3 linked regions of the Ovis aries genome follow. The protein of the gene in region 3 purifies or fractionates together with the protein of the main gene of each other region. This does not show direct contact. Links are inferred from orthologs where the notes say so. Each region holds a gene or a part of one and is shown on either strand. Other genes may lie near its edges.

Region 1 (3,650 bases), about 28 Mb from region 3:
GATGGACGTAAGGCTTTCTCCAGCTCGGGGGCAGGGGGAGCGTGGCTGGTGGGCATAGGCTCTGTTGGAGGTGGTCCCTGAGGCTGCTGGGAAGAAGGCATCAGATGGCAGGTTTACGAATGTTCCTTTGTTGTTTGAATAGAGAGAACCTTCCTGAGATTCAGAATTGAAAAAGTTCCCAGGGCTGAGCTGTCGAACATCTTCAGCTGCTCCTTTCTCTTGGCGCCTCCGTTCCTCATCCCTGAAGAAAGGGTTCCCCAGGGTGCTTTTGAAGCCTTTGTAGTCGTCTGTTTACTCACCCCCTACACACACACAGGAGAGCTGCCACACTCGTGTTCTGTCCCTGCCTGAAGCCTGGCCACGCTGCTTGTTCCAGCTGCACCGCTGTCCCCTGGGAGCTGGGAGTGACAGGGGCTGGGAGCCCTGAGCGTACAGAGCTCAGGGAAAGGACCAGGACCCAGACACTGCCCAGGCTGGGGCGGGTGAAGAGGGGCGCAGGCAGGAGTCCTGGGCCACTCACTGGCCACCTCTGTCTGGTGGTGTCCCAAGCGTACAAAAAGGCGGAAAGAGGCTGCGTGTATAGTTCAGGACGTGGTTCACTGTTCCCCAAATGACACGCGCCTGCTTTCCTCCTCCTGGGGCTCCAGTATGGGGAGAGTGAGGAGCCGATGGGAGATGAGGACTACGACGACTACTCCAAGGAGCTGAGCCAGTACCGCCGGTCCAAGGACGGCCGAGGGCGAGGTGGGCCGGCGCTCCGAGGGCAAGGCGGCGGGGAGGGCGGGGGCTCCCCTGGCAGCTGCGGGGCTCAGGTCCTGGGCAGAGGCTGCGGATGGACGCCATCTCTCTCTTCTGCAGGGTTAAGTCGAGGCCGAGGCCGGGGTTCCCGAGGTCGAGGGAAAGGGATGGGCCGGGGACGCGGTCGAGGAGGCAGCCGAGGTGGGATGAACAAGGGCGGGATGAACGACGACGAAGACTTCTACGACGACGACATGGGCGTAAGTCGGTCCTCCGTCCCCTCGTGATGCTCTTACTCAAGGCTCCTCCTCGAAAATTTTTTTCTTTAAATGAGTTGTCTTCTGAGGCTGATCCCATCCCCTTGCTCCCATCAGCCGTTCCAGCGGGGAGCCTCTCAGCACTAATCAGCTCTCCTGGGTGATGTTCTTCAGGGGAGACCCTCTGTTTTTAAAGCCACATCTTTGTAGCACCTGCAGTCATCTGCTCTCTGAGTTCTTCAGGAAGGCGCCGCCTCAGAGCGGATGCGTTCCTGCTGGTGTGTGGCATGCGTGTTCTCAGCTCCGAGCAGTGGGGCTCTAAGCCACCCACCTGGGCCCCGGATGGAACTGGCTGGTCGGTGCCCTGTCAGCCCTGCCAGTCAGCCCCTCTCACCCTCACGGTCCACTCCACCTGGCCTGCACAGACCCTCCCCGCCCTTCCTTTTAATTCTCCTTTCCGTTCCCACTCTGTGTTCCCAACAGGATGGTGGCGGGAGCTACCGGAGGAGTGACCACGACAAGCCCCACCAGCAGTCCGACAAGAAAGGCAAAGTCATCTGCAAATACTTCGTGGAGGGGCGGTGCACATGGGTAAGGGCAGTCCCGGGGCCAGGGTGCCTGGAGCCGGGACACACGGGCCTCGCGGTCTCCTTTCTTTCTGGAGGCCACACTCTCTGGGGCAGTGTTTGGGTGGGCTTGGAGTGGTTGAAAAATGCATCAGGGGCCTGGAAATGATTGAAGAGCCAGGACGAGATTGGTGACATACCTGTGTTATTTTGGTTGGGGGGATTTTTTAGCCAAAATTTTCACCCAATCCACGGAGCCTCAGATGTTCTGTTGGACCTGTCGCTAATGCAAAGGTGTGACGTAGCCTGGTCGAGTTAGTGAACTTTAATGTTGGAGAGGGAGTCATCAAGGCCGAAGAGGTGGGAGTGGGAAGGGATCAGGCCCGCCTCGACCTTCACAGCAGAGTGTTATGCCAAGAGACATGCCAGTGAGCTCAGGGTCCTGAAGGAAACAAGTACAATCCAGTGTTAGTTCAGCCACAGATTCAGATTCAGTCAGTGGGCAGATATTGGCCAACATGTTCCCAGGGAATACTGTACCTATGTATCTGTGTCAGGGAAAAATGTTACTATGTTTCAAGCAAAGGTTGGCACATCACCCGTGCATACATAGTTTTCCTTGTTCAGAGTTACAATTCATGCCATTTTAGAAACTTGAAATACATACAAACAAAAATAAATAGCTATTAGGAAGAGAAAGAGGGCCCAGGTATTCAAGTTTCTTTCTTCTGTTCACCTGGATATTGTTGTTTGGATTGTACAGTTTGCAAATAGCCGAAAGCTCAGTTCCACTGGCTGAAACCCATAGACGTTTGTCTCTCAGAACAGAGTGTGGGAATTCCCGGGCTGTCCAATCCTAACAGGACTCGGTGCTTCCACTGCAGCAGGCACGGGTTCGATGCCTGGTTGGGGAACTGAGATCCTGTGTGCCATGTCAAATGACCAAAAAATAAAAAGATCAGAGTCTGGGAGTGGGCACTACAGGGCAGGTACAGTGATGAATAACACCATGGGAGACCCAGGTTCCTTCCTAGTTCTTCTGCTGGCATCTTCAAGCATGTGGCTTTCGTCCTCATGGTTGCTTAGTGGTTGCTGTGCCGTCACATCTAGGGCTGAGAGGAAGAAAACTGGGAAGGAATTGTTGGGGAAAAAAATGCCTTGGCAGCATTGTCTTCCCTGGGACTTTATGTACATCTCATTGGGCAGAACTGCATAGGAAGCTGGGAAATAGAGTAATTTTAACCCCAGCTTGGGGTTCTGTTAGGAAGAAGGAAGAGTGAAACTGAACACTGGCTGTTATGCAGAAAGCAGTACGTGGGTAAGAGGGGGGGAGGCAGGAGGAGGGGTTAGAAGCAGTGGAGGCAGCAGAGTGGCGGGGGTGGGGTAGCTGAGGACAAGGGGGAGGGGGCACGGGCAGGAGAAAGGGGCACAGGCTTTGGCAGAAGTTTCAGGCTGGTGGGAAACTGCATTATGGGTCAGAATAAATGCCAGGGGCTGTGTGGAGGGGACTGTTCATTTTTGTCATCGGTCCCTCTGTGCTTCCCCAGTGACAGAGTAGTACTTCCTTGGTGAACAGCTTACCTTTGACTGGTTCTCTTCCAGGGAGACCACTGTAATTTTAGCCACGACATCGAGCTACCAAAGAAGCGAGAACTGTGCAAGTTTTACATCACTGGGTTTTGTGCCCGAGCCGAGAACTGCCCCTACATGCATGATATCCTTTGGTGCCCGCCTTCGAGCGCATGGAGGGTGTAGACCTTTTCTCCTTACTGGTGTTAACAGCTGGCCTTCACCGCACTCCATTTGTGCACCGAGGAGGTGCCGAGAGCCCTCTGCCCGTCTCCATCTCTTTCAGCCGTCACCTTTGCCCTGCGACAGGTCTGCTCTTGCCATTCTGCAGATGAGTAAACTGAGGCACGCATGTTATGTGTTCCCCATACATACACAGTTGACCCCTGAGCGGCGTGGGTTTGAACTCTGCAGGTCCACTCATGTGGGTTGTTTTTGGTAGTAAATACCACAGTACTGCAGGATCTGCAGTTGGTTGTATCTTAAGACACAAAAATCTGAGTATAATTTATATATAATC
Region 2 (3,650 bases), on a different chromosome or scaffold from region 3:
GGTTCTGTCCTCAACCTTATTTCACTCTACATTTCCATAATCTTATCTATATTCATGGTGTTAAGTACCATCTGCTGCTGCTGCTGTTGCTTCAGTTGTGTCCGACTCTGTGCGATCCCACAGACGGCAGCCCACCAGGCTCCCCCGTCCCTGGGATTCTCCAGGCAAGAACACTGGAGTGGGTTGCCATTTCCTTCTCCAATGCATGAAAGTGAAAAGTGAAAGTGAAGTCGCTCAGTCGTGTCCTACTCTTAGAGACCCTGCAGACTGCAGCCTACCAGGCTCCTCTGTCCATGGGATTTTCCAGGCAAGAGTACTGGAGTGGGGTGCCATTGCCTTCTCCTAAGTACCATCTACTCACCTGTAACTCTGAAATCTAGACTAGAAAGAAATCTAAAATTAGAAAGAGATCTGATTCTTTCTCCCGAATTGCATACCCTAACCACTCACAGGACATCTGTATCCCAATGAACTGTAGAAACCAGAAACTCAACATGCCTAAATCAGAACTGTCTTCCTCCAAAGACCTGTTTCTTTTCCTGCTTCCCAACTGGGCAGGAATTCCCAGGACTTTGGAGCCCCTTTGCCTTAATTCCTGCAGTTCTCCCAAAGGTCTTCCTTTCCACCTCCACTACCATCACCCTTCCAGGCCCGCGTCATTTCTCACCTGGACTGTAACACTTACCTCCTCACTGGTACCTCCACTCTCAGTGCTTCCCCTCTATAATCCATTCTGACACAGGGCTATTTCTAAATGATATATACATCACTCCCCCGCAAACAACCTTTCAGGATAAAACCCAAACTCTCTGTGTGGCTTATAAAGCCCTCACCACCTGGCTCCTGCCTAACTGTCCTTCTACAATACCTCATCCTGGTCACGTTGAATTTCTTGCAGTTCCGCAACATCAAGCTCATTCATGGCTCTGTGCCTTTACAAGTGCTGCTTTCCTTTGCCTAGAGTGCTCTCTTTCATCATGTCCAATGCCTGGTCCCTACCAGTCATGCATGAATCAACTCCTAGGATACTCCCTCTAAAAACTCTCCTTGAGCCTACCAGGTGCACCTCTTGCCCCGGCTGAGCTGGGATGCTCTTCCTCTACCCACCCAGAGCATTCCCTACATATCTCCACTGCCTGCACACATCGTGCTGTGTGTTTAACTAATGCTAACTTACCAGTCTCTGCCATTAGAACAAGAGATCCTCAACGGCCACGGCCATTTCATTTACCTCTTTCTTTACTGTCTGACATAGGACCTAATAACAACAGACATGGGTTAGCTGTTGAATAACCCAAAACACTTTTGTTTTTGCTAGTACTCTTGCCTGGAAAATCTCATGGGCGGAGGAGCCTGGTAGGCTGCACTCCATGGGGTCGCTAAGAGTCAGACATGACTGAGCGACTTCACTTTCACTTTTTACTTTCATGCATTGGAGAAGGAAATGGCAACCCACTCCAGTGTTCTTGCCTGGAGAATCCCAGGGACGGGGAGCCTGGTGGGTTTCCATCTATGGGGTCGCACAGAGTCAGACACGACTGAAGTGACTTAGCAGCAGCAGCAGCAGCATTGATTTGGATGAGATTTTCCTTCAGTAGAAAGATATTCAGGTCTTTTTTATTCCCAAAATATTCCAGAAACTTCATATTCCAAATTCATCTGCTCAGACAGAATAGCTTCCCTAATCTCTCTTAGGGCTGGTTATGATCATGGCTTCTTCCCTCCAATCTATCCCAATCTATACTCACTGTGGTTTTCTCCCCAAACTGCATTTATTCCTGATGGTACATTTGATGTTGGCACTTTGTCTAATTCTAAGTTAGTCTGAAATTTATACTTTGCTATTCACGTATCCTTTTTGTATCTATCAATTCACAGCGGCTTTAGATTAGAAGCACCAAATGAGAAGGAACATGTCTAAACTCTTATTTAATCAAACACAAATAGGTATGCGAAGCCTCTCTTTTTGAAATGCATTGTTTTTCAAAAAAAATGATGTTGAGTGCTATAGGCTATAGGGAGGAAGAGGGACAGGAAGTCTCCCAGGTGCTCTGAAGCTGAGCTACGAGTAGGGAGGGAACGGGAAGAATGAGGCTGAGAGAGGTCTGACCTGGTGGTAGTTGGACAGGTTGCTATGCATGTCAGCAATGTCCTCACTGGATACTTCTTTGATGACCAGAGTCCGATCATAGGAGATAAGGAAGCGACCATCACTGCCTTCACTTTCAGTTGGGGGACTTCGGGTAAGAGATACCTAGGGACACAGAAGGGGCTAGGAGCTCTTTTCCTCCCCCTTTATATATAGATGCATAGGACAGTGGTCAACTGAACACATCTGAAAGTAGATAAAACCTTGGCGTGAGAGGATGAAAACAAGTTCTAAATCCAGTGTCCATATATAGACTGAATGAAATGAGCAGCAAAATTTTTAATGCATCTACATTTCTCCCCAAGGACAGGCTTTATACCTTTCTTCAGATTTTTGAAGATGCCTGACCACAAGATATTAATGACCACAAAAAGGTAAAGAATACCTGTGAAGGTCCTCATTTCTCCAAACATTACTGTCCCGATTCCCCTTGTTAGGGAGAAAGGCCTACCCTTTCCCCAAAATGGACACTCACCAAGTAATCCTGGTCATCAATACCAAATCGATCACGCAGGTTCCTGAAGACTTGGGGACAATATTCCTTGAACTTGAAATGACTGGGCAGATTTTCCCTGCAACAGGGGTTTTCAAGATAAGAAAACAAAGTAACAATATTATCTTACATTTATAACGGGCTTGACAGTTTATAAAACACCTTCACACATATTATCTTATTTGATTCTCACAGAAGCCATATGAGGTCTTTTATAAGTGTGCTATTCTCGTTTTATAGAAACGGAGACTGGCTTAGGGTGGCTGAGTGACCTGCTTAAACCACATGACTGGTAAGTGGCTTAAGTAGAGCCAGGATCTACTGCCCATCCAAACAGCAGCATTTCCCAAATCTCAAGAAAGTCAGAGACATCCTTAAATCAGCAATAGGTTTTGAATGGTACCTTCTGATACTAGGAGGGCTTATAGGATTGAGATATTTCTTTCGGGGAGTACCTCTCGGAAGCTGATGGTAATGACAACTAAATGTATTTACGCTGTGGAATTTTCAGCTAGAGGAGAGGCAAACTAGTACACATAGACAAGTGTGTAGGGAACACTGGAAATTATTTTAGTGGTTTCTTTAAAAAAAATACTGAATTTCTGCATTGGGAAGAAGTTTAAGCAATAAAACAAGAACTTGTAAGTTGCCTTCTAAATCTAAAACTTTCAACTCATTCAACCTTAACTCTTAAAATGATTTCTTCTCTTTTCTAGGAAGGCTGACAAGAGAAGAGCAGGGATTCCCACATACCTGTGGAAAAGGTGATTGTTGACCTTGATCTTGGAGCTAGCCTTAAAGTCATCTGGCAGCAGCATCACCGGGGGAGGCACCTGGCTGAGCTCATTGATCTGATCAGTCAGAATAAGAATGGGAAGGCAGTGAGGAGGAGTATGGAGAGCTACTTATATACTGTGTCTGGGAAAGAGTCAGAAAAGGGTCACTGGAAGGACTGCTGCTGAAGCTGAAGCTCCAATATTTTGGTCATCTGATGCAAACAGACGACTC
Region 3 (3,650 bases):
TCCGAGCAGGAGAGAAAACAAAATTACACAGCATATTTTAAATGTCTAAAAATTAAGCATTTTAATAAAAATATTTAAACTGCATCTGCATATACCATGTGAGCCCTAATGGTGGATGCGGAATTAAAGACCAGTATGAGAAACAGCAAGATAGTGACCTCAAGGGGTCTGTGATCTGTTCAGTTCTCCACAGGAAGTGTCCACATGGCCACACTTCCTATCTCCTTCTGTAAACCCAGATTTTCAAATGTCAGGCTTACTTAAGTGAGGTAAAATAATGTTAATTGGCAGTAATAAGCTTTCTAAGTTGGGAGAAAAGCAGGAGCATAAGGGAGCTTTGAAGCAAACGTTTGTGGACTGAATCAAAATAATGAGGCTATAAAACTGGGAAAGGGATTTTTTTTCTACAAATACTTTAAGGTTCCATAAAAGTGGTAGTAGGTAGTTTATCACTGGGCCACCATGATTTTTTCTGGTTTTCAAATCCTTTAGTAGTAAAGACAAACACAATCATTCCCAGCATATTATAACAATGTTTCCCATTATTTTCAGGTTCTCTGTCTCTCATACACACACACACACACCACCCCCCCACCTCTCCCCTTCAACAGCTAGGCACCTACCACAGGGTCCTTCACAGTGTCAATCAGCTTAATGATATTTGTTCCACCACGAAGGTTCTCCAGAATCTTAACCTCTCGTTTTATCTTCTTTTTCTTCACTGGCTTAAATATACAAGAGTAATGAGAAGTAAGACTCCTTTTGAAGTTAACAAATAAAACTTTAAAACACTGTTTCTATCAAATGGCTATTGCACTATCTTGCACAAGGGCATGTCTAAACTAGAAGAGATGGGGGAATAAAATGAGGTTTAAGAGGAGCCTGCCCATAAGAATTTTTAAGATTACATGAAATAATTCACAGACTCATACAGCTTACATGTCAAATCTTTTAAGTAGTTACATTTAGGACACATGAAATTTTGAATGCCTATGTCATACTTTAAAAATAAAATGTTTACTAGTTAACTGCCCAATGGAAAGCGTTATAGCTCTTAACAGCTGTCTATCATGCACTCATAAATGGAAAAACGGAAACAAACTGCTAAGACACCTGCTCTTCCAACGGGTCGCATGTAATTTTGTCTTCTAGGAGTGAAGACCAGTTCACTGACATCAAGTTACAAACTTGTTTCCCAGCTGCTGGCTCCCGTTTCCTGTCACCACTCCCATTTCCTTAATATCTAGACTCTGAAATCAGCTCAGAGCCAGTAAAACTTCCCAACAGACCCCATTCCTAAAGGAAGAGATGATGGATCAGCAAAGGAAAAGACCAATCTCTGACACAGCAGTGACTGAAAACCCCTGCTACCCACTAACCTTTCAATCTGTTGGATAGGCAAACCGGAAACCTTAATCAAAAATGTCAGCATTATGCATGTTATTTCTTGTCATGAATAGGCTAAAGAGTCTGAAGAATAATTAAAGCAGCTCTAGAAAAAAAAGCATTATCACAATCAATTATGCTTTATAAAGTACTTAAACAGCAACTAGTATACAGGAAGCAGTCAATAGATGTTATGTCCATTATTTTCATGTTTCATTCTCACAAAATTCCTATGTAGAAGACTCAGCCAAGTTGAGCTATTTGCCCAAGATCATACAGCTAGCAGTCAAGAGCAGGGGCAGGATTCAAATCTGCAGGCCTCAATCTTCGCCACCGTGCCTTCATTCCCCAAGTGTGGCCATGGGAGGACTGTAACTTAGGAAAAGGAGTACTGCCCCAGCAAGACACTGTTACAGCAGCGCAGGCAAAGACAAAGACGGCCCCGTGGGTTAGCCGTGATGGAAAAGATGGAAAAGACCGTGTCCACGTGGTGGCGGTGGCAGTGGGGTGGGTGAAACACAAGATACACACAAGCCAGAGGAACCAGCATCTCTTGCTGGTCACCAAGCTACAGCTTTGAACACAAACCAGAGAGGAACTGTAAAACACAGAGCACCTGCATCACCTGTAGGAGGGCGCTCAACTGAGAGGCTGGAGTCTGGCTGCATTCTTCCAAGCCAGCTGCCACAATCGCGCCCATTCCACTGTCAGCATTCTCAGTAGAACAGATCTGGCTACTGTGGTTCTTTCTCCATTCCACTTAGGAATTTTACTACTTCCCTTTTTCATAATTACAGAACTCAATACTTTGGAAAAGTGAGGCACTCAAACATCAAGTACAAACTTGGTCAGAAAACAGCCAGAGAAGGACATACTACAAAATAAGTAGTCTACAAGCTTTAAAAATGTTTATGTCATGAAACACACAGACTAAACAAGTACTCCAGATTAAAAAAAATATGACAACTGAATGTAACGCATGATCTGCGATTTTCCTTTGCTATAAAGAACATTACAAGGACAACTGGCAAATGAGAACAGAGGTTGTAGATGCATCAATATTAACTTTTGATTTCTGATCATGGCATTGAGTTATGTAAGAAATTGCTTTTGTTTTTAGGAAATATAGGAAATTAGGGATATTCTTTCAAGCACTTAAGTAAAAGAAATATATATCAGCACATACATACATATCTGTATGTATAACAAGTGTGTATATATAAATAAAAGAGAGAAAAGGATATTTAAGAAATCTGCATGAAAGATACATGGGAATTTTTGCAATTTTTCAGTAGTCTGAAATTTTGTCAAAAAGTTAAAAGAAAAATCAAATGCAAACAGTATATTCAACATAAGAAAATTCTGGGTTTTTTTGTGGCCACACTGTGAGGCATATGAGACCTTAGTTCCCTGACCAGGGATCAAACCTGTCCCTTGCCACAATGGAAGCTCAGCATCCTAACCACTGAATTACCAGGGAAGCCCCAACAAATTCTAGAGTTGTCATCCACTCCTGGAAAGTAGTTACAAATCTGTGGGAGTGGCAACAGAGGGAGAAAAAAAACAATGGCCAGAAGCCTGTGTTCACCAAAAGCCCCCTCTCCCTCTAAAAGTGAACAAGTACAAGGTAACCATTATATAAGCTGCTCCTATGACAACGTCCCATATAGAGCCTTGCCTTGTTCTGTTATTCAGCAACGTATCAGGCAGTTCCTGGATAATCCAGTTCAGATGAATGTATCTTTCACTATGTCTTAAGGTAACTCACAGAACAAGTGAAGCACATTTGACTGCCCAATTGTCACCTGTCAGACTGGGGACAGCAGGACAAATCTAAAGTGGCAAAATGGAGCCACACTGCAGCTGGAGTCCTCACATACTGAGAAAAGACCGACAGACTATAAGAGGAGTGATGAACGGTGCAGGAGGCTCACTCCAGAGCAGGGGCACCAAGTCTCTACAGGAGCCAGGCTTCAGGCAACTCTCTCTAGCCTCAAGCTTACTCCTCTGAACCTGAGAGACCTCCAGAAGCCGAAAAACCAATGAATGCCCAGACATTTATGACCGCAATGATTTACATTCTATAAGTAGAATTCAAGGGAAAAAGTTAGGATTTATAAGGGAGGATCCTTGGCATCTGAAGAAAGATAGACCATGAATTTTTACAGAAATAAGGCTGCTCTAATCCTAAAGCCTACTGTCCACACTCACTCACCACCACTAAAGTGGAAAATACATTTCCACCATTTCACATTTCATCTGCA

What was found.
Region 1: the proteins of CSNK2A2 (region 3) and ZC3H4 purify together in Homo sapiens (affinity purification with mass spectrometry; 3 studies listed by BioGRID and IntAct, with this or other methods). This does not show direct contact. The link is inferred for Ovis aries from reciprocal best matches to the Homo sapiens genes CSNK2A2 and ZC3H4.
Region 2: the proteins of CSNK2A2 (region 3) and PIP4K2C purify together in Homo sapiens (affinity purification with mass spectrometry; 3 studies listed by BioGRID and IntAct, with this or other methods). This does not show direct contact. The link is inferred for Ovis aries from reciprocal best matches to the Homo sapiens genes CSNK2A2 and PIP4K2C.

What each region holds. Positions count from the first base shown.
Region 1 is NC_056067.1:53,896,196-53,899,845, reverse strand, and holds part of ZC3H4 (zinc finger CCCH domain-containing protein 4), read left to right. Parts: coding exon 1-7; intron 8-647; coding exon 648-744; intron 745-858; coding exon 859-998; intron 999-1,478; coding exon 1,479-1,586; intron 1,587-3,163; coding exon 3,164-3,275; intron 3,276-3,650. UniProt on the Homo sapiens protein: RNA-binding protein that suppresses transcription of long non-coding RNAs (lncRNAs). LncRNAs are defined as transcripts more than 200 nucleotides that are not translated into protein.
Region 2 is NC_056056.1:162,070,434-162,074,083, forward strand, and holds part of PIP4K2C (phosphatidylinositol 5-phosphate 4-kinase type-2 gamma), read right to left. Parts: intron 3,494-3,650; coding exon 3,396-3,493; intron 2,722-3,395; coding exon 2,625-2,721; intron 2,255-2,624; coding exon 2,111-2,254; intron 1-2,110. UniProt on the Homo sapiens protein: Phosphatidylinositol 5-phosphate 4-kinase with low enzymatic activity. May be a GTP sensor, has higher GTP-dependent kinase activity than ATP-dependent kinase activity. PIP4Ks negatively regulate insulin signaling through a catalytic-independent mechanism.
Region 3 is NC_056067.1:25,628,480-25,632,129, forward strand, and holds part of CSNK2A2 (casein kinase II subunit alpha'), read right to left. Parts: intron 726-3,650; coding exon 624-725; intron 1-623.